4 linked regions of the Astyanax mexicanus genome follow. The main gene of each other region encodes a partner of the protein of the gene in region 2 in a complex. Links are inferred from orthologs where the notes say so. Each region holds a gene or a part of one and is shown on either strand. Other genes may lie near its edges. The genes, in order: cnot2, cnot6l, cnot9 and cnot10.

Evidence for each region.
Region 1: cnot6l (region 2) and cnot2 share a complex: the UniProt entries of both Homo sapiens proteins name them as parts of the CCR4-NOT complex. The link is inferred for Astyanax mexicanus from reciprocal best matches to the Homo sapiens genes CNOT6L and CNOT2.
Region 3: cnot6l (region 2) and cnot9 share a complex: the UniProt entries of both Homo sapiens proteins name them as parts of the CCR4-NOT complex. The link is inferred for Astyanax mexicanus from reciprocal best matches to the Homo sapiens genes CNOT6L and CNOT9.
Region 4: cnot6l (region 2) and cnot10 share a complex: the UniProt entries of both Homo sapiens proteins name them as parts of the CCR4-NOT complex. The link is inferred for Astyanax mexicanus from reciprocal best matches to the Homo sapiens genes CNOT6L and CNOT10.

Annotation. Positions count from the first base shown.
Region 1 is NC_064409.1:54,388,443-54,396,601, reverse strand, and holds the start of cnot2 (CCR4-NOT transcription complex subunit 2), read left to right. Parts: upstream 1-4,947; 5' UTR 4,948-4,962; coding exon 4,963-4,980; intron 4,981-6,815; coding exon 6,816-6,935; intron 6,936-7,037; coding exon 7,038-7,110; intron 7,111-7,216; coding exon 7,217-7,364; intron 7,365-7,491; coding exon 7,492-7,677; intron 7,678-8,159. UniProt on the Homo sapiens protein: Component of the CCR4-NOT complex which is one of the major cellular mRNA deadenylases and is linked to various cellular processes including bulk mRNA degradation, miRNA-mediated repression, translational repression during translational initiation and general transcription regulation.
Region 2 is NC_064429.1:17,420,223-17,427,440, forward strand, and holds the start of cnot6l (CCR4-NOT transcription complex subunit 6-like), read left to right. Parts: upstream 1-3,906; 5' UTR 3,907-4,021; intron 4,022-6,475; exon of another isoform or gene 6,476-6,490; 5' UTR 6,491-6,500; coding exon 6,501-6,612; intron 6,613-7,218. Other genes in the region: mrpl1 (39S ribosomal protein L1, mitochondrial), read right to left, coding at 1-16, 466-592, 2,155-2,185. UniProt on the Homo sapiens protein: Has 3'-5' poly(A) exoribonuclease activity for synthetic poly(A) RNA substrate.
Region 3 is NC_064430.1:21,132,402-21,140,762, reverse strand, and holds the start of cnot9 (CCR4-NOT transcription complex subunit 9), read right to left. Parts: upstream 3,260-8,361; 5' UTR 3,094-3,259; coding exon 3,076-3,093; intron 921-3,075; coding exon 741-920; intron 589-740; coding exon 473-588; intron 375-472; coding exon 265-374; intron 1-264. Other genes in the region: ftcd (formimidoyltransferase-cyclodeaminase), read left to right, coding at 5,453-5,506, 5,585-5,768, 6,702-6,830, 7,676-7,764, 8,307-8,361. UniProt on the Homo sapiens protein: Component of the CCR4-NOT complex which is one of the major cellular mRNA deadenylases and is linked to various cellular processes including bulk mRNA degradation, miRNA-mediated repression, translational repression during translational initiation and general transcription regulation.
Region 4 is NC_064413.1:37,975,094-37,983,185, reverse strand, and holds the start of cnot10 (CCR4-NOT transcription complex subunit 10), read left to right. Parts: upstream 1-4,844; 5' UTR 4,845-5,035; coding exon 5,036-5,054; intron 5,055-6,858; coding exon 6,859-6,953; intron 6,954-7,239; coding exon 7,240-7,401; intron 7,402-7,502; coding exon 7,503-7,653; intron 7,654-7,980; coding exon 7,981-8,092. UniProt on the Homo sapiens protein: Component of the CCR4-NOT complex which is one of the major cellular mRNA deadenylases and is linked to various cellular processes including bulk mRNA degradation, miRNA-mediated repression, translational repression during translational initiation and general transcription regulation.

The sequences.
Region 1 (8,159 bases), on a different chromosome or scaffold from region 2:
AAAACAGCATTGAATTCTCTGGGCTTGGAGGCATCTATGGACAATCACACAGTGAAAACATGTATTGTCATCAGATTAATCAGTATTTCAGATCTTGGTTTGGAAGAAATGAATGGGGATGTTTGAAAGAAATTAATGGCATGTGCTAAAGGTATTTCCAGTCAGTTATTTTTAAAGCCCAAAAGCCAGGGTCTGTCATGGCGTGGGGTTATGTCAATACACTTTTAGATGATGGCAGCATTAATACAGAAAGGTACACTGAGATCTTATACTGAGATAATGTACTTGCTTTCAAGATGCCAACATCCATTCATTTTTCAAAAAGACAATGCAAAACCACATGCTGCACACATTATGAAGGCATGGCTGTGCCTGCAGTCCTGGTCTGTCTTCAATAGGGAATTTGGAGATTAAAAATGTGCCAATTTCAACTTCATACTGTTGCACAGCCATACTGTTGCACAGCCGATGGATTGGCAAGCGTGAGAAATACCATGTATACATGGATGGATTGGCAAGCGTGAGAAATACCATGTATACATGGTATTTCTCACGCTTGCCAATCCATCGGCTGTATATTATAATGTACTCTCGTTGAGCCAATCAGAATATAGATCGCTCTGTTGTTACACTCTAAAAAACAGATGTACGATATGAGTACTTTTTTGTACTCAAAGGTACATTCTTTATAATTGTACCCTCAATGGTACAATATTGGTCTTTACAGGGTCAGATTGGTTCCCTTTGAAGTACAAAGTCTTTCCTAACAGCAATAAGGACAGATTTGTACCATTTAACCAGCCAAATGGTACATTCTGTATTCTTTATCACTGTACTAATAAACAATATATATTTTAATTGCACATTTTTCATGTGAAAGCCAGACAATTTTGGATCATCAAGTTTTTGACACATATTCAGTTGATGATAACGTTTATAATCTGTATTATCTTTACTGGCACAAAAATATGGGGTACAAAAAAGGACTTTCACTGAAAAGTACTTTTTTGTACCTCAATATAAGGTACAGCCCCAGCGACAAGCTTTGTACTCTTTTAGGTACAAATCTGTACTTACTTTTCTTAGTGTGTAGGCAGACCTAGTCAAAGAGGGTGGAGTTTCTGCCAGAGTGTCAGGCGCGAAGAACTGTCCGATTCGAAAGTTCTGAAACACACGTCGGTGACAACTGAAGGAGAACGGCGGCAGATATCCATCCAGATATTGCTAATAAACTCAGTAGGCCAAAAAGAACATGAGAAAAAGCAGATTTTAAATAATAATTTCAGTTGTTCGAGACAAAAAGGTCACTATTACTCTTCTACAATAATACAGCCATGTTGAAGTACTTTGAGTACATGCATGTATTTCCTGTCACAGCAATATGGTTTAAATCAAGACTTTAACTAGGCCACTATTGCAGGATTTTCTGGTAGACTAACAGAATTGTTTTGTTCTGTTAATTATGGCAATTCACCAAGGATACAGATCAAACTACCACCCCAATGTTTTGCATAATTAGAGATACAGTTCCTTATATGCTCTTGGTGATCTTGTGTGTGTTCAGCCACTTTTGAGATGATTCACAACTGTTTTTCAAGTTTTCTTAGTAAAACCTTTTCGAACAATATAATAATAATAAAAAAACTTCCAGTATTTCTGTTGATCCCTGTATCATGTGTTGTTTGTTGAGACATTTTATCTCCATATACGTAATTCAAATTACTGTGATTTATATTTATTACTGTAAATTATGTTTAAATTCAACAGAGGTGGCTTAAATGCATGAATTGTCTGATTGATTAACCTGTAAACATTTTTAGCTGTTCCCATTTAAAAATATTTTATGCCTTAGTCTTAAATTGAATTTAGTTTAAAGTTTCCAATAATTAAGCATGCATAACACGCAAAACAAAACAAGGAATCAGGAAATACCCTTTCCTGGCTCTGTAATAGTAGACTTGTATTGTCAGTGGATTAGACACACATGTAGGAACTAGGCAGAATTTAAACATGTCAGTGTTTACTTAAGATTATCACATAAAATTGAAAATGAAAATGAAAGTCTTGAGTGTGTGAACCCACACATCATTGCAGCAGAAGAGGCACAAAACATACAGTGATATGCATTAATGTACTCACTGTCATACATACAAATATTACACACTGCACTATTAACAGTCGAAACTGTAATACATTGTACATACAGCCTATTCAGTGAAATTAAAACCCTGAGTATATAGTATACTATAGACAATACAGAGATGGTCTGATGTCACCTGCAGTAAAACCAGAGATGTCACTCTACTGAAAGAAAGACATCAGTATTCAACTTGCTGTCATCACTCTGTAGCTGCCAGCCAGTTGGGCGTCTGTGTGGTTATTTGGCAGAGCGGAGAGCTTCTGTCAAGAGCTTATGATGTTGATGCTCTGCCAGCAGAATTGTACAATGAAGAAAGTGTGTACTAGTCTTTACACCATTGTTGTTGATAAATGGCTATGACTGAGTTCATATTTACAGAACTTACATAATGGAAACCTGAATTAAAAAAGTCTAGAGTTTGGAGAAGAAAAAAAAAAAACTCATACATTATCGATGAAAGTCAACTGCCAAATTCTACCATTATCAATGTCACATAATAAATGTTAATATAAATATTGAAATAAATATAATAAACTTTTTTTCCACATACAGTGACGTCTATATTGTTTGGGACATATTTTTGGGATTATAAAATCAAATGTATGGACTATCATTAAGAAGAAACAGTGCACTGCTCAGTTTTTATTCTTAAAGGGACTAGTAGGCCAAGGAAGAACTCCACTGATAAAATCTTTACTAATCTTCAGAAAAATCTTTAATTGTCTATCTGACAGGTCAAAAACAACCTTGAGGAGTTGGTTGTGTATTTGTCAGATACTATTTGTAGAAGGTTTCATGAACAAAATTACAAAGGTGGCCAATTTAAAGTTTGCAAAACCACTGTCTTAGAGACTTAACAGAGAAGATTCTCCGCATAAGTTATAGTCTGTAATATAAGTATAAGCATAAGTATAATAGTCTGTGAATTACAGACTACAGATAGTGATTGCATGCAGTGGATATAAAACATTATACTTAAAATGACTGTATCATACTTGTTATGGCTATGCGCCAAACATGATATGGTTATCTTAAATGATGGTGACTGTGTAAATGTATGCAAATACCCTTAAGCTGAAGTGTGGTATGACTACTATAATCACTTATGGTCGGTTTGATGTGATATTTATATTAAATTGGAGCAGAGGGCATGCTTATGCATATTTGATCACAGATGTTGCATCTGGGCCTGTAGATTCTGCCCACTCATCCACTGATGAAGTAAGTGCAAGAAACACATAATTGTTGAAAATCTGTTGATCAAACAGGCCAAGTGTTGCAACTGGCGAAGACATTTCTGGGAAAAACTTGCTGTGTGTGAGTGAGCATTGTCTTACTACTAGGTGTGACTGACTGTCACAGTTATACCCTCTTGTGGCAAGACTAACACTGAGTTCCATTTACCCGGGATATTCGGCTATTGTGAACGTTGGATTCTAAACTCAAGGTTGGCGAGGCTCCCCCAACTTTTTTGAGTAGGAAATCTGACCTGTAGGAGCGTTCAAGTTAAGATTTCCGGAAACTAGGAAAACTAGGAAATTCCAGCTTCCCAGTTCTAGGCATAAACATGATTTACAAATCTGTCTGAGACATAATTAAATGCCAAGTTTTCCAGCAATCCAGGGTGTTCATTTTTGTCAATCAGTTTACATACATAACATTTAAGGCACATGTACAGATGAATCTTAAAAAGGTTTTATTTGTTCAGTAAATACACATATAAATACACATATAAATATATAAATATAAATATATATAAATATAATATACAAATATAAATAAACATAAATAAATACATAAATAACATAACATAATTACATAACATAACATAATATCATAAATGTGCTTATTAAACATTTCTTTTGTTTTTTTGCACTTTCTTAAAAATGACAAGATATGGCTTCTATTTACTTTATTTCCTTCAAAAGGACAAATGATTTGTTACTATTTTATTTGTAAAAGGTACAAATAAACATAAATAACTCTTCTTTTATAACTTCTATTTATGTTTAATTGTACCTTTTACAAGCAAACTCTTATCGCAGAGATAAATGGCCTAAAAGCTATAACAAGTTTACATACATTTACATATAATTGTCTTTGGCTACTTTCATTTAATTTTTATTAAATAAGTATGGACAAAAATAAATAAAACATAAATACAATATATATCTATGTGTAAAATGATTTAAAACAAAGAAACAACATGAACAGGCCTCAGCTAAAAATAATTTAGTTAGAGGAACTAATACTGAAAATGTTATATAGTAACAACTGTAACTTATGTTTTGTTAGTTTAGGCCACTATGTCCAATATTCTTGCTATGAAAGACTAGTATAAATCAGTCAAACAGGGTATCTTGTGGGGGGAATACTGATGCTGGCCCAGGAAGTCAGGTTAACTAGAGATATGGAATAGCTCATTTAGTGCATTATAACGTTTATACAGAAGCTAAAATGTGAACAGTAATGTCGTGATTATAATTACTGAAGAACCTGAATATAGTAAAATAAGTGATAATTTAAGGCCCATAATAATAATAATAATAATAATAATATTAATGTAAAGCAGTGAGGGCTGCTGTAGAGGCCAGAGCAGGGTCAGGGGGTAAAGGCTGTTCACCCAGGATTCTCGGCTGCAGGATACACAGCCATCTTGGGTCTACGAGGAGAGGGGAAATTAATGCGGTTAGTGGATTTCTTCATTTATTAACAAAAAACACCACTCCGCGCGGCCCGCCTCGAACACAACACGAAAACAGAGCTGTAGCGTCGGAGGGTTTTCAACCTCGCATGTAGGTTGAGCTCGAACTCGCGGAGAGATGGCTTTACACGGACTCGTACGTCTCTGTGTTTTTGTCCGAGCTAGCTGCGTTAGCACCAGCCTGATACCTGAAGCTAAAGGGCTTAGATAGAGATGCGGGTTGGAGCGGAGCAGGAGGCGCAGTGGCCTAGCTAAACTACACCGCCTCCACCGAACACAGCCGGATAGACTTTGTTAAGCTAGCTCTAGCTTTATCTGTAGCTGTGTTACGAGCTAAAGGCTAGTGCTCCATCCGGTAAATAATTAAAAGAAACTGTTGTGCCGCGACTTGAAACGCGATCCACGGTCTAATCTGGAGTCTGGTTTAGCCTGCTGTGTTGTGGACGAAGCCGTGTTTTGTCAGTATCGTCAGCCGCTGTTCAGATGTTTTTTTTTTATTATGTAGACTGAGCAACTTTAGCTCGGTAGCTAACTAGCTTAGCTATCTACCTGCTGTTGGATTTGTAAGCTAGCTAGGTTTAGCTAGTTAGCTAACTAGCTAATAAGCTATCGGGTTGGTTGAATCCATAACCATCAATAGCTCCCAATGTAATTCTCTGACGCTAGTTAGCTTGTTCGTAACGCTATTTTAACCAACTAGGCAGGTTAGCTAGTTAGCTAACTAGCTAGCTTAAGAAGCTATCGTGTTGGTTGGATTCATATCCATCAATAGCTTCCCATTTAATTTTCTGACGTTAGTTAGCTAAGCCAACTAAGCTAACGAGCAGTCTGTTCATACCGCTATTTTAACTAGCAAGGTTAGCTAACCCTATATAACTAACGTTAATTCGTTAGCCCGGCTAGATAACTAACTTAGCTAGCGTTATTTAAGAATCCGGAGTAAAATATTGTGGATTTGTTTTTTGTTTTTTAACAAACTAATGTAGTTAGCTAATTCATTTTTGCAAACTTGAAAGCAATATCTAACGATACAACACCGTAAAAGAAAAAAATACGAGCTTCTGTCTGTACCGAAAGAGTTTGCCCAGCTAGTTAGCGTTAGCTAGCTTAGCTGGCTAACACGATTATAAGCCGTAGTCCAGAGTTAGATGTGTTCTGGATGTATACTGGGTAGCTTAGCTAGCGGTTAGCTCGTTACTGTGTTTAAAGCAGCAGGTCTCTGTGCTTTTAGCTTGATCCTTTTTAGGTTATATCGTTAACACGCGGATCGTCTAGCTAGTTAACCACTTTATAATGTATCACACACGTTTGCAGCTTAATATTAGCTAGCTATACATAAGTTATCTGTCAGTGCCAAACTGTCAAGGTAGCTATTAACAAGAGTAGCAAGTGTTAATGTAAACAATGGAAGTGATGAGCAGTGTAATTATTCTCATTGCTTTTGACTTTGTTTATTCTTTAGTGCCTGTTCGCTCTGAAGCTTGTTTTGTGTGATTTATTTGGACCTTTTTACTTTTTTCTTGTGTGGTCACATGGAACTCATGCGCTCAGATCTCTTTCACAACAGCCATAATAATCTTAACACTGGCAGAAAAGCTCTGAATGCTTTTATTGACAATATTGTGTAGCTTTGGGGCCTGTTTTACTGATCTGAGTTAAACTTGGTCCTGAGCAGGAAGTATTAAGAAGCTCTGGGTTTCACAGAGCTTTACAAGTTTACTCCCAGACTAATCTTTAAACAAAAAAAATATATTTTTGTTTAAAGATCCTGTATTTTTTTAAATAACTGAGTTAAATCATAAAATACATCTTATGTTAGTATGAGTTTTACAACTTAGTCCAGTAAAGGTTTAGTAAATGTAAAAAGCAAGTTTCTTGTTTTCTACTTAAAGTGGTCTCTAGAACATCTCTGATCAAATCCAGTTATTCTGGCTTTCCTTTTAACCTTCTAAAACTATTGTTTTTTCTCAGGTGACGAACGGAATGTTCAGTGCTACAAGAAAGAAGTTTGAGGGGGTCGAAAGCGACTACCCAGATGAGAGCATGTACTATGGTCAGCCTTCGATGTTTCCTCATCGAACAGAGAAAGATGTAAGAGCAAAAGTTACATGCCTTCAGTTGACAAGTTACAAAAAAAAATACAATTTGTGCAGCACAAATGTAGGAAAATGAAAGAGTTTGTAAATCTTGCAGATGCTGGCATCTCCCTCACCATCGTCGTCAGGTCAATTGTCGCAGCTTGGTGCAAGTTTGTATGGTCCACAAAGTGAGTACATTTCTCTAAATTTGCTTGTATTGTGTTGCAGTTTTTAAGACCACTCATTAAATATAAAAATGTTTTATATATGATTTTTCTGGTGTGATTCTTGTAGGTGCACTAGGCTTCTCAATAAGGGGCATGAACAACAACAACCCTCAGTTAAACCGGAGTTTAACACAAGGTACTCAGTTACCGAGCCATAACACCCCAACAACGGGCGTCCCAACGATGTCCCTCCATACCCCACCTTCGCCGAACAGGTAGGCCTATGACTTTGCCTGCTTTCAAAGTTTTATCCAACGTTTCCTGTTATGTTTCTTGTTTGTTCTCTGTGAACAGTGTGGGGATGCCCCATATACCTGATTTACATTCTCTTTTGATTTGCAGGGGAATTCTTCCCATGAATACCAGGAACATTATGAATCACTCGCAGGTGGGTCAGGGCATGAGCATGAGTGGCAGGACCAACAGTATGGGCAGTTCGGGCCTTGGCAGCCCCAACCGCAGCTCTCCCAGCATCATCTGCATGCCAAAGCAGCAACCAGCACGACAGCAACCTTTCACCATCAACAGGTACAATGTCTGTTCCTAACGGCATAACTCAAAGTCCAGGCTGGCATGTATTGGCACCTATGATAACTTAATGCATTTATTAAGGAGGCTGTTAATGATTTAAGTATTGCTGTGTATTAAAAAAAACTTGACACACTCAGTGAGCATATGTGCCTGGACCAGTGGGCTGCCATTCCTGTGGCAACTGGAGAGCAGTGAGGACTAAGGGCCTTTCTCAAAGGCCCAACAGTGTTAGCTTGCTGAAACCACAACCTTGTTATCGTTAGCTCTCTAACTGCTAAGCCACCACAACCTAAGTAGCCACAGTAGTGTGTGGTGGTGGTGGCTGTGGCCGTGGCCAACGGTATAAATGGGATCAAGCATGGAAACAGTACGTGTTCAAGTATTGCACTTCGCTGTGGTATCTGAGAGACAATTCGAATAACATTTTATAATGAGTTGAGTGTGCAGGAAAAAATACATGATTTATTTCCACACACAGC
Region 2 (7,218 bases):
AGGTTTTTTAGCTGCCCTGCAGGATGTACATAAATGTTACACTCATTTAATATTGACAATATTTTATCATGTCTTGATCATTTTCTTATTGTATCGACAATACATCTTTTTATTAGGCATACCAAGGATATAATCAGTCCTCAAAGAACACAGACATAACTGTACATTTCATTACAGGGAGTGTAAAAAATCCTGTTTATTAAATGATGTGCAGCATTTCCTTTAATTTCTCACTGGAGTTCTCCTTTAAAGTTTTGATTTTATACCTGAATTTAATAAATCAATGATTAAGGGTTGTGTCCCAAAACTTTTACCATATAATGTACCGGTATGCCAACATTCTTATCGTCACCAACAATACAAAAAATAAGCTTCTGCACAAGAGTTTTAAATGTTATTGTGTGTTAAAGATCTGTTCCCATCCAAAAAATACAAATAAAATACAAATAGTAATATGAAGCTTACTTGGCTGCTGCGGCATAGTTCCTGACGAGGACGGGATGAGGCCTAGCTGCATTCTGGGAGACATTTGAAGCAGATGAAGCACATGAAGCGCTGGAGAGAAGAAGCTGTCTCTGGCACCCAGCTACTACTGTGGGACAGACCATAAGAAACAACACAGTGATTTATTGTTTTATGTAACCTATTATATGTAATGTCTGTACATATTCCTATACACACCATCCACTTCATTAGAAACACACTGTAGCCAATTTTTGTTCTTAACCCAGGTCAGTTTTACTGGTCAACCTTGCAAATCCAACAACAGTCCTGTAGTCAGAAACTGTCTACTGATGATGTGGTAGGTGATGATTAATACACCATGAACACCAACAATTAAGCTACAATCTTTAGCTGTACAAACCTTTAGCTGGTAAAGAAAACCATAGCTCACATTTGGGATGCTTAGAATTGTATGAAATAGGAAAAGAGAAAAAAAACTGTATGCCATGATGAAAAAAAATAGTTTTTGTTTGTTTTTTGTTACTGTACAACCACAAACAAAAAGCTTTTATTACTACAAGTAACTAAAACTAGAAAAACCTAAAGTTAGCAGAGTGTTAATAACACACTTACATAACTGTAGTAGGGGTGGGTGATATGGCTCTTAAATAATATCTAATATGCGATAACGATATACTTGGCGATATAGGAAAACAGAAAAACAATTGAATAATTTCAGGAATACAGTATAATAGTATAACAGTATAATCATAATAATAATAAAATAATATAGCATAAAATAATATAATGCAGCAAAAAGTATTGCAGAAAAATAAATAGAACATGAACAAACCCCCAGGTGGGTGATGATGAAGAATTGGTGCCAAATTAAAAAGCAGTTACTGCAAATGGAAGTAAAACCACTTTTACATCCCTCTATCCAACTGTTTTTTGAAATTGTATGGTGATAAATAGCAAAATGCTATGATGATTCAATTATACATTTTGATAAACATTTGCACAACCATTTAACATTAAATGTTGAAACAACGTTGTTTCAACATTGAATCAACAACAACAGACATTACTTTAACCATATATCAACCACATTTGGTCAGTTGTATGTGAGCTGGGCAGATCTTTTTAATTTACAAATTGCTTTACAGTGGGAAATATTAATAATTAAATGGATAAATCCACTAAATGCTAATTCTTCTGAAATCCTGAGTTCTAAAAAAAAACAATGAAACCAAAATCAGGTTTTCTAGAAACTTTCTAGAAACCCAATGACGCTTTACAACTTACACATTTTACACACTGTACACACAATCATTCATACTCAGAACTTATCTAACACAACAGTTTCCACACCGACTGGTGCTGACTGATCCGTTCTACTATAACCAGTTTCATAGCCGATTAGTTTTAGATCTGGTTTTCTTCTAGTCTGCTTATTTTACTTCTTTTTCAGCCACAGTGTTTATAAAGCTCTGAAAACTCTCTATACCTCTATTAAATAAAGCAGCTCTGCTAACCTAGGTTAACTAACAGCGCCGTGGCTACTAATGTGATTAAACCGCTAGACAGAAGCTTCTAATAAAACCAGGCTCCTATAACCAGCACAGACTGGCACTGTGTGTTTAAATGTCATTCAAACTCTGTTAGAAACTCTTTAATAATAAATAAATAAATAAAATCCCCAAAACTGACCTCTCAAAATGCTCCTGCAGGACGCTGCCATGTTCACAACCGCACCTCATGTTCCTCCGTGTAGAAACACACACTCCTACAAAGTTCCGCCACCCACTATTTTTAATAAAAAAAATACATAAATTTTTTATTATGAAGACCATATTAAAGCTATACAGAAACACACGCTGAATTATTCTGTACATAAACAAATATTAAACAAAGCAGAATCTGTTAGAATTATACTTTAGATTCTTCCAAATAGCACATTTATCTTTGAGGACAGATCTGCACACTGTTGGTATTTTTTTATCTCAGTGTCTTCATGAGGGAGATTCACCTGGAATAGTTTTCTCAGTGTATTGAAGGAGTTTCTAGAGGTGCTGAACACTAGTTGCTGCTTTTCCTTCACACTGTGAAGCTCCAGCTCATGCCAAATCACCATCTCAGTTCATCAGTTTTAAATCAGGAAAAAACCTTTCTTTAATATCAATCAACGATGTTGAAAATACATTAAATAAAGAAATAAAACAAACATTAAATAAGATCAAATGAGGTCAAACTTTTGAATGGTACTGTATCACCAGATAATTCATTTTAATTGCTGGTGGTTGTATACAAATACAAATGTGAACATATATTGTATATTTATGTATTATCTCTTCATCCTTGGGTTGTTTTAAATAAATGCAACAAATGACATACTAATAAATGTTTGGTTATTTAATTTCCATACACATTAAGCTGTGCCTATTCTTATGTATCTTAGTTTCGCATATATAAAGCAAATCTGCAGATTTTTCTATTATGATTTAAGTGACAGGTGCCTGAATTATACATTTTTTTGATAGCTTTTGTAAAACAATGTGACTTCATGTAGCTTAGTTGCTTTGTAAGTATCCAAATTTCTATTCACTACTATCTTAAAAAAAACAGACCTAAAATGCTGACAATTTAAAATATTTTCCAAAGTTCTTTAGTTTTCTGTTTTTTTTTTGTGATGTAAAATATAGTAACAAAATTTTACACAATTCTTTATAATAACAATTTCTCTGTACACTATATTTTTTCACAAACTTTAAAAATGCATCAGTGAAATTTCTGTTCGTCTTTAAATAAACAGTTTTTCCATGTAAACTATTGTAATTTTACAAAATATATCTTATATTTTTATCTTATATTAAGTCTATGCATTTTTTTTATTAGTTATGTCATTAAAGGCAAATTAATAAAAAAACAATGTTCTTTGTTACAGGAGAAGCCGGTATGGGTAATCCACCTGTTTTTTCCATGGTTTCCATGTTTGCATTATATATTTACAGTATGTCAGTGATATGCCTAATCATGGTCAGTGATAGGAATGGGAGGGGTAAATCTATCTAAAGTTTATCTGTGTTTTTTTTATATATCGTGATATAGTTTATTTTAGTTTTCCTGCTGCTAGGCTTCGCTGATATATTGATACCGTGTTTAATCGCTCCACCCTTATCTTAGCTAGTCTATCTATCTATCTATCTATCTATCTATCTATGTATCTATCTATCTATCTATCTATCTATCTATCTATCTATCTATCTATCTATCTATCTATCTATCTATCTATCTATCAGCAAATGGATAGATGGAAAAAACTATTTAAAACATCTATCGTTGATACAGTTTATTTTAGGTCTGATATTTACTATATTATACTATTTATCGATACAGCGGTGAATCGCTCCACCCTTATTTTAGCATGAGAACTTGAGTGGAAGAGCGGAAGCCATGCCCGCCGTCCTTCCTTCCCCCTGTCGCTCAGATCACCCGGGGACGGAGCGGCACGGACTTTCTGCCCGCATGTCTCCAACAACACCGCCCAGACAACTCCTTTACCCGCTTCCGAATGCAGGTAAACCGGCTGTGGGGGTCTTTAAACACCCGTTCTCCTGTATTCGCTGTGTGTTTTTGTGCTCAGTCACTGTACTGTGCTGTTTTCCCTGTCAGTGAAGGAGAAGCTGCTAGTTAACCGAGCTAAGCTAACGCCAACTGTCTTCTTAATCAGCCGAGGCGGCCCGATCTACAGCTCATACGGATCAGTTACAGTCTGGTGTTCTGTTTTAGCTAAGCTAAGCTAAGCTAGCGGTTTACTCTGATAACGAGTGCAGTTTCTGAGCTGGGCTTGAGTTACATGTTACTGAGATATGCTTTGGTGACAGCTGGACAGACAGTTAGCCACTGTATTTATTTATTTTACCAGAACAAAATAAATAAATTAGACGCTGGATAAACTCAGGTAGCTATTAGCTAACTTTGTAGCTACTTTATAAGTGAACTTTGGATGGATTGTAGATCAGCAGTAATGAAGAGCAGGGCTGTTTGTTTTGGACACGTTTATAAGCTAAACAGCCGCCCAGTTTGTGTATAATACTAGTAGTTGACGCTAGGTTAGCTAGTTAACTAGCTCCTGTCGGTGTGTTTCAGAAGTTTAGCTTTGTCTCTGTAGTGTAGGTTAATGTTGTAAAGTGAGGCTCCGTGTGGTTGACCTGTTGTTGCTCTGGAAGTTCTCAGAAGAGCTTATTATTTTACGTAACGAAGAGTTAGAGAGTTAGCCAGCTAACTTACAGTAGCTAAACGCACACAGACACCCTGATCTGATTAAGTGTAGAAAAAGCCCATATTCCTCCTCTCAGATCAGAGACGGTTGTATTCTTGTAGTGCTTGTATTGTAGGTGGTTGTAGTAAACACTGCTGGTCAAAGTGCGGCTCTGATCCACTCCTCTGGAATTTGGCAGTCTTTTGCTGTTGTTAATGCAACAGCTGCGACCTGACTCCTCTACTGCTGATATATTTATATACAGGGCAACTGAGGTCACTCTGTGTAGCAAGCATGCTCTTAGCTGTTAGTTTATATGAAGTATAGTTAGTGTGTATATATACACTAATGCATCTTAAAAAAATAGAATATCATTGAAAAAGTTACTTTCTTTCAGTAATTCAGTTCAAAATGTGAAACTCATATATTATTATATAGATGTATTACACACAGTGTGATCTATTTTGATAAGCATTTATTTCTTTTGTTGATTATTATGGCTTTCAGCCAATGAAAACCTAAAAGTCAGTGTCTCAGAAAAGTAAAATATTATATTAATATTATCAGACAAATTGGTACTTTTGGCAGTGTGGGCAGTGTGCCAAGTCGTGCTGGAAAAGGAAATCTACATCTCCATAAAAGCTGTCAGCAGAGGGATGCATGAACTGCTGTAAAATTTTCCGGCAAACACTGCAGTGACTTTGCACTTGATATAACACAGTGGACCAACACCAGCAGATTTACCAGACATGGATCTTCGAACCATCACTGACCATCAATACATTTTGCATTTAATTTGAAGATCAAGTGACCAGAGTCTGGAGGAAGAGTCTAAGCTGATCATCTGCTGGTGTTGGGCCACTGTGTTATGTCAAGTCCACAAACTTTTTATGGAGATGCAGATTTCATTTTCCAGCTTAATAGTTTTTCGATTTTAGTTAATCGATTTTTAGTGTCTGGATTTTGCCCACGTCTGATTATTGGCAGGGTTTCCTTAAAATTTATGTTGTCTATTTTATTATTATTCCATGTTGCACCATGGTTCCAGAGGAACGTAATTTCATTACACTGTGAACATGTGCTCAGATGTAATGACAATAAAAGCCACTTGACTTGACTTGACTTCGTCTCTGCATTGAGGAAATCATAGACCCCTATTTAAACCATGCTGTGGGTTATTCTGACTAGACTAGGGGTGGGCGATATGGCTCTAAAATAATATCACGATATTTCAGGGTATTTTTGCGATAACAATATACTTGGTGATATAGGAAAACAGAAAATTAATTAATTAATTTCAGCAATATAGTATAAGAGTATAACAGCATAATCATAATGTGGCTAAATAAGTAATATAGCATAAAATAATATAATGCAGCAAAAAATATTGCAGAATATTCAGTGCATGCATATAAACTGCAAACTCAAACCATTATACAATAAATACACTTAAAGCTTCTCAGTAAATAATAGACTACTTTTAAGACAGAACATCTCTATTATCACAATATAGATTTTTAATATCACGATATTTCTGTGTCACGATATATTGTATATGATATAATATTGCCCACCCCTAGTATAGACAATATTGTCTTTATAGAGACTTTGCGTAACGCAGTAGTAGCCTGCATTTTGCCTGGGCCTTTACAGTATGTCTTTCAATTCCTTACAACTAGCAAAATTAGACTTGCTCCAGTGTAGAACTACAGAAAACTTATATTGTAATTGTATTGAATTTGTATGTCAGAATTAGCTTCTAATTCTTAGCTTTACATCCTGCAGATTAACAGGCATGCCAAAGGAAAAATATGATCCTCCGGATCCGCGCAGACTCTACACCATCATGTCAGCGGAGGAGGCGGCCAATGGGAAGAAGTCACACTGGGCCGAGTTAGAGATAACTGGTAAGTGTCTTCATTTACGATTCTTAATACTGAACGGATGTTGTGTGTCTTCGTTATCAAGAATCCAACATTCTCTGATTAGGCACTCTTTTTTTAAGTAAAAAAAAGTGTTAAGACTAAACTAATAGGCCTTGTTTCCACTGCTGGGCTAAAATGCTTTCCAAGGCCACACCGTTCCATGCTCTGCCAGTACAGACCTGTTAGGTGGGTTATGGTTTCATAACCCATGGTTTCCATTTGCTGTGTTTCATGCTTTCATGTCCTAATTTTAGAGTTAGCACTAAAAAATAAGCTTGTATAGTTTATCTTAATATTTGTTTTAATTTGACCATTTAAATCTATATTACTAAGGCCAGTAAACATGGATTTGTTTTTTGCACAAACATTGCATCAAAATCTGGTAAATGTTTCTCTCTGTGACCAGTAGGAGCTGTGTTTTAATTTGACCATTTAAATCTATATATCTACGTAACAGTTACTAAGGCCAGTAAACATGGATTTGTTTTTTGCACAAACATTGCATCAAAATCTGGTAAATGTTTCTCTCTGTGACCAGTAGGAGCTGTGTTTTAATAGTGCTGGGTGTGCATCCTTGATAAGTCATGT
Region 3 (8,361 bases), on a different chromosome or scaffold from region 2:
AAACAAACAGACGAAAGGACACAATAATATTAACAATAATCATTTCTAAACAATGTCATAACTGGGACCATCTCATACTTGAATAGAGAAGATTTTCAAATGTACTGTACAAATATAAATGAGTGAATTATTAAAGTGAATATCAATGCAAAAGATACACACAAATCCACCTTTTTGATCCTGCCATCTCTACTATAAGATTCTGCTTAAATCACAACCCCAGTATCTGTGGATGTTCTCAGTTGTAAAGCAAAATTAACCTACCAATGACTCCAAGGCTGGTGAGGCGAAGGTATTCAAAGGGTCTCGTTTTACTAACGGTGTGTAGGAAAGGGTACAGAAACAGAGGGATGTGCGCTGCCAGGAACGCAGAGCTGGAGGGATAAAAGAAAAGTTTAAATTAAGGAACATGCAGACAATTTAGTCTCCAAACTGTATTAATTGTAAATCAGAGTGGGTTTGCAGCATTTACCGTGTCTCCACATGCGAGGCCACACATTGCAGAAGTGCTAAGGCATTGCACACTCTGTTGGACTGATGGGCTGTAAGCGTGGGAGGGTTAATGGAGGGGTAGATGTTCACTATCTCCTGTTAAAATAAAAACACATGAAAAAACATTCATCAGACACTGTGTTGGGAGACTCTGTTACAATACTGCTTTATATTATGTTATCAAAAAGATAATAGTAGGAATGTGTAATTTTTGGTTATGCTGTACTTATGAAGTTTCTAGTTTTTACCTGAAGGAGTGCAGCAATGGTCCCACAGGAGTGCCAGAGCATTGGAGCCAGATCAGTCACCGATTCCCGTTTCTTGCTGAGCTCAAGAAGTGCATTCTCCCGCGTCTCAGGGCTCGAGAGCTCATTGATCCACTGATAGATCTTCTCACGGTCCACCTGCGCCAGCGCCGTGCTTACAGCCTTGGATAAAAAACGCACAAATGTTAATCAGGCGTTTCCTTATGACCATCAATTCTTAAGATTTTTTTAAATTATTAGTACTGGAATTGCTCCATTATTTAGCATCATCATAATAGTATTACCCAAACCTAGTAGACAAAAATCCCATACAATTTTATACAGTGAGTAGAAATCCCTCACAATATCTCATAATATCCAGGTAGCAAGTGAAACTGAAACAGCACTGTTTACAACTAATGTTGCAACAAAGCAGCTTTACACACATCAGCAGCAGGACAAAATATCAAACACAAATATAAAACCTCCACAGGGGAAGCAGAAGGCAAAATTTACCAATTATAAAATTACACATATAAAGTCACTGTACCATCACATCTGCCTGTTGTTGTGCTCAGGTGTACTGATATAATCATCAGTGGTAAGAATGATGAGAATAAATTAATTAATAATTACCATGGTTAATGGTAATAATTAGAATAATAATAATAACAGCAATTATTCGCTAGACTAACAATTTGGAATTGCATATAATCACCTTCCATTGCTTAAATGATCACCTCAATGCTGCCTGACCACCTGTAGTAAAATCACCTACACCCTCAGTTGATCAACTCATTTGATTCTACCCCTTAGGGATAATGACATATGTCAAGAGTGTGACTTTATATGTAAGTTGTTAAGATAATTGGTTCTGGTTACTACAGTAACCCTACAGAAACATCTCAGACGGAATATTTGATAGAGCATATCTTGTGGTGTTCCTCAGGGTTGTACTCTAGGGCTAATGAAAGTGATATTATTATTAAAACTGTTGCTCTGAGAGTGTATGACTGAGATGTAGCTCACACACAGGTTCTAACTGGGAAAGCAATCAAAACTAACTAATGTAATGTTAGGAAAACTATATTGGAAACTTCATAGATTGTAGTGCTTTACAACCTTAGGATGGCCGTAATACAGTTTGAGAGACACTGTTTTACAGTAACCCTAGTTTCTAAAAGAAGCAAATATCGTTCTACTGAGATATCCTCTGGCACCTCCTACATGTAAACAGTTACATTTAAATTTACAGTCTCAATTACCCCATTTAAAAATTGCATTAAAACAGTATTTAGTTTAATCAAATTAATTTACTTAACCTCCCAGCTCTACTTACGCAGGTAACTGGCACAATTGAACAAGTAAAACCCTTTAGCATGTTTACTGTAATGGAGTAATACATTAGTACTCAGTTGTACTTCTTTGTGTAAGCTATTGCTAATGTTTTAATAAGACTACTTTATCAGATCTATTTACTGCTTATATACCGAATTATAAATCATAAGACTAATAATTAATAACTTTAAACTGTCAGCCTCAACTCTTCCCAAACTCACAGACACGACCGTTAGCCAAACTTCAGCTACTGCTATCAACCAAGGATTATTTTAGATAGCTAACTGTTATATAAGCACTTATTTCGTAGCTTAATTCCAGTTGAGTTTAACTTACTTCTTCATTTTAACTTTTTTTACTTTACCAGTTTTACTCAATTTGAGTTTATTAGCTAAACTAAGAACTGTAAATTTGCTAGCTAAACAACTTTCTAGTTAGCGTTAGCAGCTAACTTAACCAGCGTACTAGCTAAGATAGCTAAGCTAACATTAGATAGCAACCGTGCCATTCAAACTTTAAGGAAGCTAATGCCAGCTACAGGACGAAATATTACGATATAAACATCGGAGATTTGTGAATATCTGTAATAAAAACATTAGCTAATATTCGCTATAATTTGCATCTAACTAGATAGCTAGCATAGCTTAGCTAACTAGTGTTAATACGTCCAACACCCGTTCTAGCTAGCGAGCTAGCTCAGGCTAACAGGCAACGCTACTTCGTTAGCATTAGCATTCGACCGTAATGACCAATTTAAAAGGCGTCCAGTTTTTATTATTTCAATTAATTAATTTAAATCTCACAAAGGCTCAAGGCTGCAGATAAATTAGATACGGGGCTGAATCTCTGTAATATATAGCTACATAAGAGTGAAGTTGTGAAGCTCTTTAGCGCAATTAGCCGCTCCGGCTAGCAGGCCGCGCAGTGAGTTTTAGGTTAGCTGATGAATGGAGGTTAATATTAAAGTTAAAATCAGAGCAGAACCGCGCATTTAACTTACCGCTCCTGTGGCCAGCATATTCGGAAGGGCTGTGTTCAGTCTTTCGGCAGCCGTGGAGATCCTTCTTCAGCCCAAAATACACAGAAATCCCTCAGAATTCACATCAGACATTCACAGTCTGCTCCACCGTCCACACTCACGCCTGCAGACTCAGACATCCAGTCTGAGGAAGCTCCAGATCCAGCAGAGGGAGCCCTGTGGAGATACCGAGATACCGATCCAGATACTATAGGATATCAGTGGATACTTACATTTCTACTGATATGTAAAGGCAAACTGAGATTAATGTATGATGATTTATGATGAGTGGAAACCAATTCATATTCTAGATTGTATATTTGCTATTTATAGGAATATGTTTCAGTAAAATTAACATTGTTGTTTTATTCTATAAACTACGGACAATATTTCTCCAAAATTCCAAATAAAAATTTTGTCATTTAGATGCAGAAAATGAGAAACGGATAAAATAACAAAAATGTTGCAAAATTTTCAGACCACAAATAATGCAAAGAAAACAAGTTTATATTCATAAAGTTTTACGAGTTCAGAAATCAATATTTGGTGGAATAACCCTGGTTTTTAATTACAGTTTTCATGCATCTTAGCATGTTCTCCTCCACCAGTCTTACACACTGCTTTTGGATAATCATTTTTCCTCATAATTTTCCTCTTATTTTTTTTCTGCTTAAAGGAGAATCCTGTGTAATCCTGTGGAGAATGGACTTGGGTTGTAACCCAAGTGAAACATGATAAGTACAAATTATGTCAACAGGCTTACAATGCTAGTGATAGGGGCATAGAGTTGTCCGTGTAAAGAAATCTCAATTTTAACACTGTCAGGGCTCATAGAATTCTACCAATCTGCTTTGAGCTTGTTAATGGTGTAAAAATAGAGATTTATTTGCATGAATACTGCTATTGCTTCCATCGTACGCCTGTTGCTGCATTTCGGACGTGGACTATTTGACCAAAGTTTTGTACTCACAAACAATGTTTCACAACACCCCAACACCCCATTTCACATCAGAGTTCTCCTTTAAAATACCAGCTCGACACCAGCTTTTGCTGGTAGCTGGTATCGGATGGTCTAAGTTTGAATATTACACAACGTTGTGTAAAAAATACAGAATGCAAAAAATGTGCAAATCTAACAGAACCACATTTAATTCACAGTAAAACAAAGCACACATTTCAGATGTTGAAAGTAAGACAATTTACCATTTCAAGAAAAATACTAACTTATTTAGTGTGTGATGGCAGCAAAGAAACTTCAAAAAGTTGGGACAGGGCATCAAAAGCCAGAAAAAGTTAGAGGTACTAATAAAAACAGCTAAAATAGGAGCAATTTGCAACTAACTCACAGAGCTGGGTATAAAAAGTGAATTTTAGATAGGCAGTAAAAGAAGTAAAGATAGACAGCGGTTCACCAATCTGTGAAAAACTAGGAAAATGTAGACTTTTGATATCTGACCATCTATTATTACTATAATATTACAAGTGCATTGTTGATGAAATTGGTATGGAGATGCTAGCTTTCATTTTCAATATTATTGCCTTAATCAGACATGTATCCAAAAATGGACCCATTTGATCAGATGTTTTGTAGCTGTTTTCTGTTTGCTACACCCCCTACCAGGTTTTGGTTCTCTGATGAATCAATTATTTACTGCAACCTAGCCACCTTCTGTTTGCTTTTGGGATGTTATGAAACTCTTGGGCCAAATATTAAACTTGGCTTCATCTCTTGATGTGTTTGACCAGTAGGTCCAGAAGGTCCGTTAACAGTTTTGTACACAGTGAGTGGTTCATGTGTACAACTGGCATGTAACATTGTTTACCCCATTGTAGCCAAGCAGACAAGACATGTTTGGTGTCTAAAATTAGAATTTTTTTACATTTTGCACATAAGCTACAAGGCTAGCTAATGCTAAGTGCTGAAAGGTCATAGGAGACAATTTACTGGAAAATACAATGAGGCAAAGATAGCTAAGAAATAGATTCTGAAAGCGTATTATTAGTAAAATGAAACAGAAGGAGGATGTTTTTAATAAAGAGGCCAATATGTGAAAGCCCAATGTTGGTGTTTATTTTATGGTGGCAATTGAGTTTTGGTGATGCAAGGCTTGACCTGAGATTAATGATTTGGATTAGGATGGCGAATACTTTTGGCAATATAGTGAATGTCTGTGACTGAGTGAATATGACAGACTTGTGTGTTATCTGAAGTGACAGGCCAATCATTGGCTGCTGACCCAGATAAGGCCCAGTGGGGCGGGTTAATCATTCTAGAGGAGCACTAACTTAACTCTCTATAGATCCGTCGAGGACCCAGTGGTGGAGCCGCTTCAGTCTGTGTGTCTTACCTCTCACAGCCATGGCTAAGCTAATCGAGTGTGTGCCGAACTTCTCAGAGGGACGAAATAAGGAGGTAAAAGCAGATTCTGACCATTATTGACTGTCACAGACCAGGAGAACCCATACTAACTTTATTAATTCTCTTTACCAGGTAATCAATGCCATAGCTGATGCCATCTCGGCCACTGAGGGCTGCAGTCTGCTGGACGTGGACCCCGGCTCGTCCACCAACAGGACGGTCTACACATTCGTGGGCCCCCCACAGGCTGTGGTGGAGGGAGCCCTGAACGCTGCTCGAACCGCCTTCACCATCATTGACATGAGCAAACACACAGGTACAGTTAACACTCACATCTTTATTAGAAATCACCATGCAAATAATAGTGCTTTCACTAAAGCTGGGACATTGTGTAAAATATAAAAACAATTGTAAATAAAAACAGAATGTAATTATTTTCAAATCTATTTTAACCATATTTTATTCACAATAGAACACAGAACACATTTTAAGACACTGAAAGTATGACACTTACGATTTAATGAAATACATGAACTCATTTAGAGTTTGATTTCAGAAACACATCTCAAAAAAGTTTGGGCAGCACATCAAAAAGCAGAAAGTGGTGCTAATGGTACTAATAAAAAACATCTGCATTAGGAGCAATTTGCAACTACTGTAACTTACAGGGCTGGGTATAAAAAAGGCATTTTATATAGTCTCTTTTGGTTAAGTAAAGATGGACAGATATCAGATCATCTTCACCATAATATCAAAATATAACCAAAAGTTTCAGAGTATTTGGATAAATCCCTGTACCCAAGGGACAAGGCAGACAGTCTAAAAATGCATGTTAAAGCTGTATCATGCAATGAATGCCAGTACTGCTGCCATCTTATGACCAAAGCTAATTCAAAATAGACTGAGGCAAAATAAAAACCATTCTGTGATTAAATGCATCAAATTTTTTATTTTAAGTGAGCTTTGGCCCTTTTGGAGTGGTTTCAAAACAAGGCACAATGCAGTGCATAGTAACCAATCAGAGCAGAGCCAAATTGGGACACCCAATAAAACCTATGTCTTTAAAAACATTTAATAATCTGAACATTTGATCTTCATTAAGATATGGAGTTATTATAACAATAATAAAACAAGTAAGCCTGTGCAATGGCAAGGGTTAAAGTGAGATAAAAAACATATTGTGTAAAAATGAATCATGTCTGTTATGATATGTAACCTTTTAGAAATCTGTCCATGTTTGAATGTGCAGGTGAGCATCCTCGGACAGGGGCCATGGACGTGTGTCCTTTTATCCCGGTACAGAACGCCAGCATGGAGGAGTGTGTGGAGTGTGCTAATGAGTTTGGCCGGAGGCTGGGGGACTTGCTTCATGTGCCAGGTGAGATAAACCTTTTAAAGGGACCTTATCAAAACAGTATTTATTTTTTTTAACTCATTTATTTTCTGATGTCTCAAAAATCGGAACATTTGATAGAGCAGTCCACACCCTCCCATTTATTTTGAAACGTTTAAGATTTTAATCTAGCACTGCTTTTTAAATCAAGAACAAAATACAGAACCAATCAGACGAAAGCTCATTTATATACAGCTCTGTAAAAAAGACCACTTCATTTCATGAATCAGTTTATCTAATTTTGCTATTTATAGGTAAATATTTGAGTAAAATTAACATTTGTTTTATTCTATAAACCTTGAACAAGAAAATGCAGAAAATTACAAATAGCTGAAATAATAAAAAAGATGCAGAGCTTTCAGACCTCAAATAATGCAATAAACAAGAGTTCAGAAATCAATATTTGCTGGAATAACCCTGGTTTTTAATCACAGTTTTCATGCATCTTGGCATGTTCTCCTCCACCAGTGTTTCACACTGCTTTTGGATAACTTTATGCCACTCCTGGTGCAAAAATTCAAGCAGTTCAGTTTGGTTTGATGGCTTGTGATCATCCATCTTCCTCTTGATTATATTCCAGAGGTTTTTAATTTGGTAAAATCAAAGAAACTCATCATTTTTAAGCGGTGTTATGTTTTTCCAGAGCTGTACATACAGTGTTAAAACACAGTGGGTTTAATTTTAAAGAATAAAGTATGGTTGGAAAAAGGGTTGTTTAGGTGTTGGGTTACCACCAATTTTTTAAGTGGGTTTCAGGAGCACATGTTAGTTTTTGTCAAAAGTTTTTGACAACATGTAACAAATTTATGCTCTCTCTGTCTCATTTTTAGTGTACCTCTATGGAGAAGCTGCGAGGACTGAAAGTAGAAGGTCTCTGCCATCTGTACGAGCTGGAGAGTATGAGGCTTTATCAGAAAAGGTCAGACTCTGGTCACTTTATTAGAAACACCCTATTGTACAGTTACAGACTGTATCTCACCTCAGAAACCAATCTATGAATAATAGAGTTTCCGGTTTGGTCTAAACCAAAATTGGAGCTGCCGTGAACCGCAGACAGGATCAAAGAACCAAATTTTGGTCTGACCAAAAGAGGTGGTGTCAGTCCAGATCAACTGAACCATGATTTGGTTTGTTTGCAGTGTGAAAGCACTTTTCTAAATGGTACTGACTTCTGAATAAATTACCAGGAAGTAGACGCAGGCTATGATCATGCATTCAACAACAAAAAAAGAAAATGTTTTAGTGCCGGAATCAAATTCCATTTTACGCATATCATGCAGCAGTACAGGCACAAATGCGTATGCTCTTTATTTCTATATCTACTGTAACTGTAGATTAACCCTTATTTATAAACTGACGATAATCTACAAACAATGTAACAAACAATGTACCTTTGGTGCAGATTTTGTTTCTAATAAAGTGGCCCGTGAATAAAAACTCTCTTGGATCTCTCCATTACAGTTAAAGAAGAGTGAGTGGGTTCCAGACTATGGTCCTGCCACCTTTGTCCCATCAT
Region 4 (8,092 bases), on a different chromosome or scaffold from region 2:
ATGATTTATTATTTATATACTGCATTTGCTGTTATATACTGCACGCTAGACTTAAATACAATTATTTGTGTTTGAGCAAGGTTTGATACTCGATCCACAGTGTCATCCACAGCCATTACCACCCAAGGTGGACAGCACAGTTGATGGTAATGCTCATTATGGGCGGTCTCTAGCTAGAAATGTCCATGTAAACAGACAGACTACTCTGGCAGAAATCACATCCATATTTAATGCAAAGTCCATACAAAAGTCATGGAACACAATACTAGTTAAATTTCCAATGTGGCATGGGACATGTGACAAATGATTTGGGAAAGGATATACAGCTCTAGGCTACAAATGGAAATGCACTACCTAAATGCATTTAACTGTAGGCTGTAATGCATGATTTCATGACATTTCCCACCACGCAGCAGCAGTTCCACAAGAAATGGACTTTAGACTGGAGGATGAACAATATACTTTTACACATAAAGTATTTAGATATAACATCAAGCTTTACGAAAATTCACTTATTAAAACTGCCTCAACTATTTTATTAGATCAGGTTGCTCTTACTGATTATGTCTAATGAAAAGACACAAATCTATGAGATGCAGATTCCGCACATCTTAAATGCCACAATTCTTATTGTCTAACCAGAGTATAACGAAGATAAAGGAGCCTGTATCACCAAATTACTCTGTAACGCTGATCCACATTCTCCTCCTCCTGGTTTATCAAATCACTCAACTGCTCCTACACTTTAGGCAATCAGTGATTTACACAGACAGAAGCTGTGGCAGTTGAGTGATGGTGTTCGTCTCCAAGCAGCTGTGTATTTAACAGAACACTCTCTGCTAAAGGCCAGGGATCAGCTCTATAACTTAATTTGTTTCTGCTCTTTCTCAGTGCCCTCTGAGCCCAATAAAAGCCTTTCAATGACTCCATAACGACTTCCTCGTCTACACAAGTAACAAAGCCTAATTGTCTTGATTGTATATTACAAACAGTAAAGACACAGCCCCCCACCACAACCCTCATGCCTACATTTAAACAGTTAAGAGCTAGTCTGGCATTACACAACACAGTGCTATTGAATTTATATGTGTTTAGATCAAACATAAAACTTAAAATGTCAGGTCTATTAAAATGTAATCTTCCTTGGCCTAAAAGGTATATAAGGATCATTGAGGACAAGAACAGCGCACTGTTCCAACATATGCAAGTGTTTAAACATAAATTAATTGACACTAGCTGAACTTTTCAGGTGTGAGCCACGTTCAACTTGAGCAGCCTTGTGACTCCATGAAAGAGGAAATCAGAAAAAACACTGGACTTAAGAATACAAAAAAAATAATAATAATAAATAAAAACTTAAATCATAAGACCAAAACAGTGTTAGAAAATAAGAACATTACAAATGATGTTTATTCTCTATTATATCACCCTTGTAGCATGGAACAGGTACTGTCTGAGAATGTATTGGCATTGTATTAATTCTAATGTGTATCATGTTAACAATTCATGCTTCCTAAGTATGGACACTGAGTAAAAGAAATAATGTAGTAAGCCCTATTTTTTCACTACAGAGACAATCATTAAAACATGTAGTTTAAATATTTTAATGATTGACCTGAATATTCAGGTTATTTGTACTATAGAATTCAAACAGATTGCATAAATGGACTTGCCATGTCTGAGGAGGATATAGAACTACTTTTTAAATGTATAATAAAGAACCATCTTCAAAAGGTTTTATTAGTGTTTATTAGTGTTCTGCTTAAATCCCCACCTCACATGTTGCTACCTTATAAAATCCTGAAAGAAATAAATGTGCTTGCTGCTCTTAATCACACTGGAAATGTTTATTGCACCAGCAGAGGCCTTTCATGCATCATATTATCAAAGCGAATAAACAAGCCAAGTAATCATCTGTTTGGTCTTTTGGTAGTTTAGAACCTTTTGGTCTGTCTGAATTCTGCCACGGCCAGGCTAACTTTTCTAAAAATGACGGAGGATAATGAGTCATATTGTCGGAATGCTCCAATTTTCTGCAGGCCTGGAGAGATGGATCTGTCATAGTTACGAAGCCTCAGAATAACCAGACACGCTCCCAGGCAATCAATCATCCCTCTTCCTCTCAAACTTCTCTCTCTCTTTTTCGCTCCCTCCTGGTGTCAATTAGTGAGACATTTTCAAGCTCTCTAGGTACTAGGCTCAATTAGACTAATTGAAGTCAAAGAGGAAAATAAACACTGCGGTAGAGAGTGTCTCTCGCAGGAGGACGTGGCAGCAGTGTTTTTTTACACTGAGAGACACACACTTTTCTTTTAACACAGGGCTCCTGTGGAGTGACACATACCTGATGCTTGTAGATGGCTGCCCTTTGTGCCATCAGTACCTGTGTTAAAGGTGGTGTTCATTGTATTTTATGTTTACATACTTACTGGCTGATTTGTAGGCACCTAAACTTTACATTACTATCAATTAATATCCATTGCTGTTAAAACTTTACAATGGTTTAAATTATTAAATATTACTAAATCTAAATTCATTCATTGGAAAATATATATTATTCAGACTGTATAGACATGTCTTCAATTACACTGACAAAATTATCCTTGTAATGCTTTTGTAGAGTAACCTATGTTGTTCTATGTTTGTGACAGAAATATGAAACTTGAAATAGTATCCTGACATAGTACTTGACCTAATTTTGACATAGTATCCTAAATCAAATTTGTTTTATCCCTGTTTTGATATATACGAGCATAAATCCAGATTTAACAAAATACGACCGCCAGCTAATTAAGAAGTATGAAACACAAAAACAACATTGTTTTTTTCCCCTTTAGATGGTCTAAACATGCTGCACACAAACTCTCTAAACTCTTCTCAGTACAGCGCTGGCATCTGGCCAGAGTGGGTATTAAACTCCCAAATCTAAAGGTGGGCATTATTTTACGAAGATATGTGGTCTTGCCAGAGGTGGAAAAAGTACTGAAAAATTGTAATTAAGTAAAAGTACTGTTACTTTGCTAAAATTCTACTCAAGTAAAAGTAAAAGTACCCATCTAAAAATCTACTTGAGTAAAAGTAAACAGTACTCAATTTAAAATGTACTTTGAGTAAAAGTTACATAGTTACCTATTTTAAAAACTACTTTAAAATTACAAACAGCTCAGGGCTTGAATTAAACCACTCTGTTGGGTCATCTGCCTATCTTGGTGGAGACAGAACCAAGATATGAGCCAGATGTTAAAAAAATCCAGAGTTTAACCTAAATGTATAGGACCATGCTCGCCTCAATAGATGTATTTTCCTATATACAGGATATGAACTATTTCTTAAGCCATTTGAGAAAACAGAATGCCTACACAAATCAGTACACTTATGCTTGGTTTATGTAATATTTTTGTATCTAACTGTTCTTCACCTGTCTAGAAACAGGTTTACTACAGTCTGTAATTATAGAATTATATAAATGCTCCTATTTGATAAGAATAGCTGACAAAATGGAAAATAAGGTGTATTTAAAGTTTTCTTTAAAAAAAACTGCCTAATGGTTAACTAAGTACATTTATTGCAGGCTCCACATCTCTTCTTTAAATTACATAACTATATAATAAAATATTCACATTCAGACAAAAACTATAAGCTAGTTAGCTAGTTATATCCAGTGTACTAGGTTAGCATTGTTTTGCAGAGTGACAGTGCTAGACTTGTTAGCTATAATGTTTATTAGGGTTTATGAATGTATAAATTGAATTATGATTTACATTTAGGGTAAAATTGTGGCCATTTAAGTTAAATGTTCTAGCTAAGGCTCTGACTTGCTAGCTTAACAGGTAACATTTAACCTAAGGTTAGCTAACTACTATCTACCAATCGTGGAACTTAGTTTAGTGAATGAAAGCTATTACAGTTACGTTTTATTTTGACTTGGGTATAATAAATTAGCTTAGCTTAAAAGTCACACTCTTGATATAGGCCATTATCCTAAAGTCGTAAAGTCAAATGATTTGAACAAATGAGCGTGCAGGCAATTTTTAAAACAGGTGGTCAAAGAGCATCATGAGGAGATGATGTAGGCAAAAAAATCAAGTTTGCCAAAAATAGAGAATTAAGTCTGGGCAGAGATAGTGAGGAAACATTTACAAAGCATATTTTTCTACATTTTGTATTCTATTAAAAAATATCAAGAACTATCAGTGTGGTAGAAAAATAAACTGTTGATGGGGACAAAAGTTGTGAGTCTGATAAATCACAGTAATGATATACACATTATTTTTAATGTAATATGTAATATGTATTGTATGTAAATTCCACTAGAAGTATGATAGGAAATAAACTTAAAGATAATCTAGATGCAGTCTTGCAAATAATGATATCCAGTCTTTGCAAAATCTTATCCTGTGACTAAAAGGTCTGACTAGTCTTTAGATGTGAGAGGGTGTCAGAATTTAGTCTGTTAAAAGTCTTTTGACTAACTACTTGACTAACTACTTCTAACCTCATTTCCTTCTTCTCCTCCTCTACTCCTATATCCCATTATTTCCCTTTAATCTCCTTTAGGCCCTGTCTAAAGTTGTTTTTACCTTTAACTTCTATTACTTTTGTACTTCACTATTGTCTGCCAAATGTAATGTAATGCTTTGAGAGTCTTTTCAAAGTCGTGTAGTGTATGGACAGCAAAACTCCTACCAGGAAGAGAAGGACCGTCAGGCTGTTTGTGTTTGGGGGTAAACTCGGATCTGTCGACATCTAGAGTTCACTCTTAGAGTCTTCTTCCATCCTATCATTCTCTCCAAATGATCACTCAGTGTTTCTCCTCCTCCACACCGGCGGATGGCGGACTGCAGCAGCTTGTGCTCTAATTCTCATTACAAAAATCCTGGATGAAGCGAAAGCAGAGCAGTAGCAGCGGCTACGCACTGATGAACCCTGTGCTGGATCTATATATAAGTTAGATAAACGGAGAGGATCTGTGTGTGAGAGTCTGATCACTGGAATTAACACGCGTTAATTCATACCAGAGAATCACTGGCAGGACATGGCTGAGAGCGGCTCAGGTAAGCTGGGTTTATTTATCAGCACCCAGGGAAAGGGTAACTTATCTGTCTACCGCAGTTAGCTAACTTAGCTAGACTGCTCGCTGAATATTTACCTGTCCCTGTCAGACTAGTAGATCAGCGCTGTTGTGAAATTTAACCACCAGTTTCTCTTCTGTATTCAGTTAAAGTCAGCAGCAGCACAATCAGCTGTGAACAGTATAAACACTGCAGCACACAGAGAGGGCAGCTAGCAAGGCTAGGCTAAGCTAAGCCAACATGCTAACTAGCTAGCTAACCTAAATAGCTAGGTACCATAGCAACCTTGCACAGTAGCTAAATTAACAGTTTCAGTCCTTTAGCAGTGGACGAGAAGTAGAATGTAAAGTTTCATATGTTTATTCCGCTATAATATAACGATTTGTGACCGAACTAGTTAGCTTAGCTAAGTATTTGAGAGTATCGTCAGTATCGCTAGTTAGCTAACCCCCTAACCTGACTCTCACTCATTTTGCCCTTCACAAAATCGTTAAAAGCGCTTTATTTTAAGTATCTGCATTAAAATGAACTAAATTATTAAATCATTTACTTGTGAAATGAATATAAGCTAAATATGTAAATGTGTAGAGATTTAATCGAATTTAATCGAGGCTAAGTCTTGCATTCCTATGCGGGTTTTCCCGTCCACCTTAAATTCTCCTGCAGAGCAGAGGTTTCGCCTGTAGGTGGCGCTGATTTCACCATTAATTAAAGTGAAATCAGTCTAAAACTGATTTATTAATTTATTAAAAAATATATTATTATCGTTTTAATCAGCTATCTAAATACTAAATATGTAGTATTATATGAACATATAATTTTTGTTTTACACTTTTTAGTCTTAGTTTAGGTTATTACGGTTTTGCAAAATGTATAATCACATAAGAAAAAAAAAAGATAAAAAAGAAAGAAAAATAGAATAAACACAAGTCCTGCATTTAAAGAAATCACATATAGACTGAAAAGGTATAGGTTGAAGCTTTAGCTTAATTTGCCTACCCTATTTAATTAACAAATACACATATTTTTTTACAGTGTAGAGACCACGCTTTACACCACTGACAAACATTTATTTCATAAAATCTTCTTTTTTTTTATATCTGTCCTTCAATTCAATTCAGTTCAATTTTATTTATATAGCGCTTTTTACAACAAAGGTTGTCACAAAGCCGCTTTACAGGAAAAACAGGTCCACGCCTCTTATGAGCAGCACCACAGAGATGCCAATTTTATGGTGACACAGTGGCAAGGAAAAACTCCTGTCCTTGCTCTCCATCCTTTAAACATAAGTATTCCACCAAGTTCAAACTTTTTATAGATATAATGGTCAGTTTTTAAGGTACAGAAATTGTGCAAAATGTTAGTGCTGTATGTCTGAGCAATAAGCAAATGATTTATAATTTATTAAAATAATATTTTTGTATTTAAATAATACTTTGGGTAAGGTGATGAAGCTACTACTACAACTACTTCTAGTGCTACTACTGCTAATAATAACATTATTATTAGTATTAGTGGTGGTACTTGTCTTGAGATACTGCATACAAGGTATATGGTATTTTCTCTATGCAGCAGTAAATCTTAAATTTAAACATGTATTGATGTATCAAAAAGCCTATGGTGAACTCGACAGTGCAGAGCTAGAAGCAGCAAACGACACAACAAACCTGTACAAGGAGAACATGTTTAATCATTAGCTCTTAAGCATTTAGAGGTTTTAGTTCTGCTGTGTCTGTTTAAGTCAAACATTCCAATTAACTGCTTTTAAATTTTATTCTTTTTCAAGACCAAGTTGGTGACATGAAACATGACAACGCTTCTTCCCCTGGAATTTCAGACCAAGAGAAGGAGATGGCCACGAATGCTTTTGAAGCATTTACGGTATTGAACTTTTACATTTATATTTAACACTCATTCCTGCTTAAAAATACAGCTCAAAAACACCTGGTAATCCAGAAAAAAACATACTGCATGCCACTTAAGAGCTAGTAAACAAGCTAGCCTACCAGCATAGGATATGCTGTTTTTTTTTTCTTTCTTTCCCCTCAGCTGGTCTTGAGGTGGATTTTTATGTTTGATATTTTTAGCAGGGATTCCTTACATATGTTGTGAAGTATTACCTGTACTTTGTTCATTACTCTTTACTGTATTGCTCTTGTCCCCTTAGGCCGGCAACTACGATGATTCCTTAAAACAACTCGAAAGTCTTCAGGAACTGAACAAGGAGGACTATAAGATAGCCCTGAACAAAGCTGTTGCTGAGTTCTACAAAAGTGGGCAAGCAACCACTGGCACGTTGAAGCAGACGTTAATGACAATAAAAAATCAGGTGAGGAAATACTTTTACATTTTCAATTAAAAATGTTCAAAAACAGGGCCTTGTTTTTCTTAAGCCTGTTTTCTGATGGTTTTCTATCTTTTTATTTGTAGGTTCATACTGCGGTGGAAGACATTGATGGTTTAGATGATGTAGAAAACAGCATCCTCTACTACAATCAAGCCATCATTCACTACCACATGCGGCAGTACTCTGAAGCCATATCTATTGGGGAAAAGCTCTACCAGTTCCTGGAACCGTTTGGTATGTTTCTGAATTTTGATTTAATTTCTCAAACAAAAAACTAACATTATTTGTTCTAGGAAACTTTGTTCCTGTTTGTGTGTATTAGTGTCCAGTAATTCATATTAAGAGTATAAGAATACAGTTGAAAAAGAAAGAAGTCAAAAGAAAACTAAGTATACAGAATAAAACACTTGTACATTCCTGATAGCAATGTTTCACAGTCACTGTATTCTTAAAAACATGCAGATTTGAGTTTCCCTTGCTAAAAGTGTTGAATCTTCCGCTCTGCTACCTCCTGGAGTAGTGCGGTAAAGTGGCATGGCTTGATGACTTTCTCTGTCCTAGAAGAGAAGTTTGCTCAGGCGGTGTGCTTCCTGCTGGTGGACCTTTACCTGCTTACCTTCCAGCCAGAGAAAGCGCTGCATCTTCTTGCTGTTCTGGAGAAGCTTTCAGTACA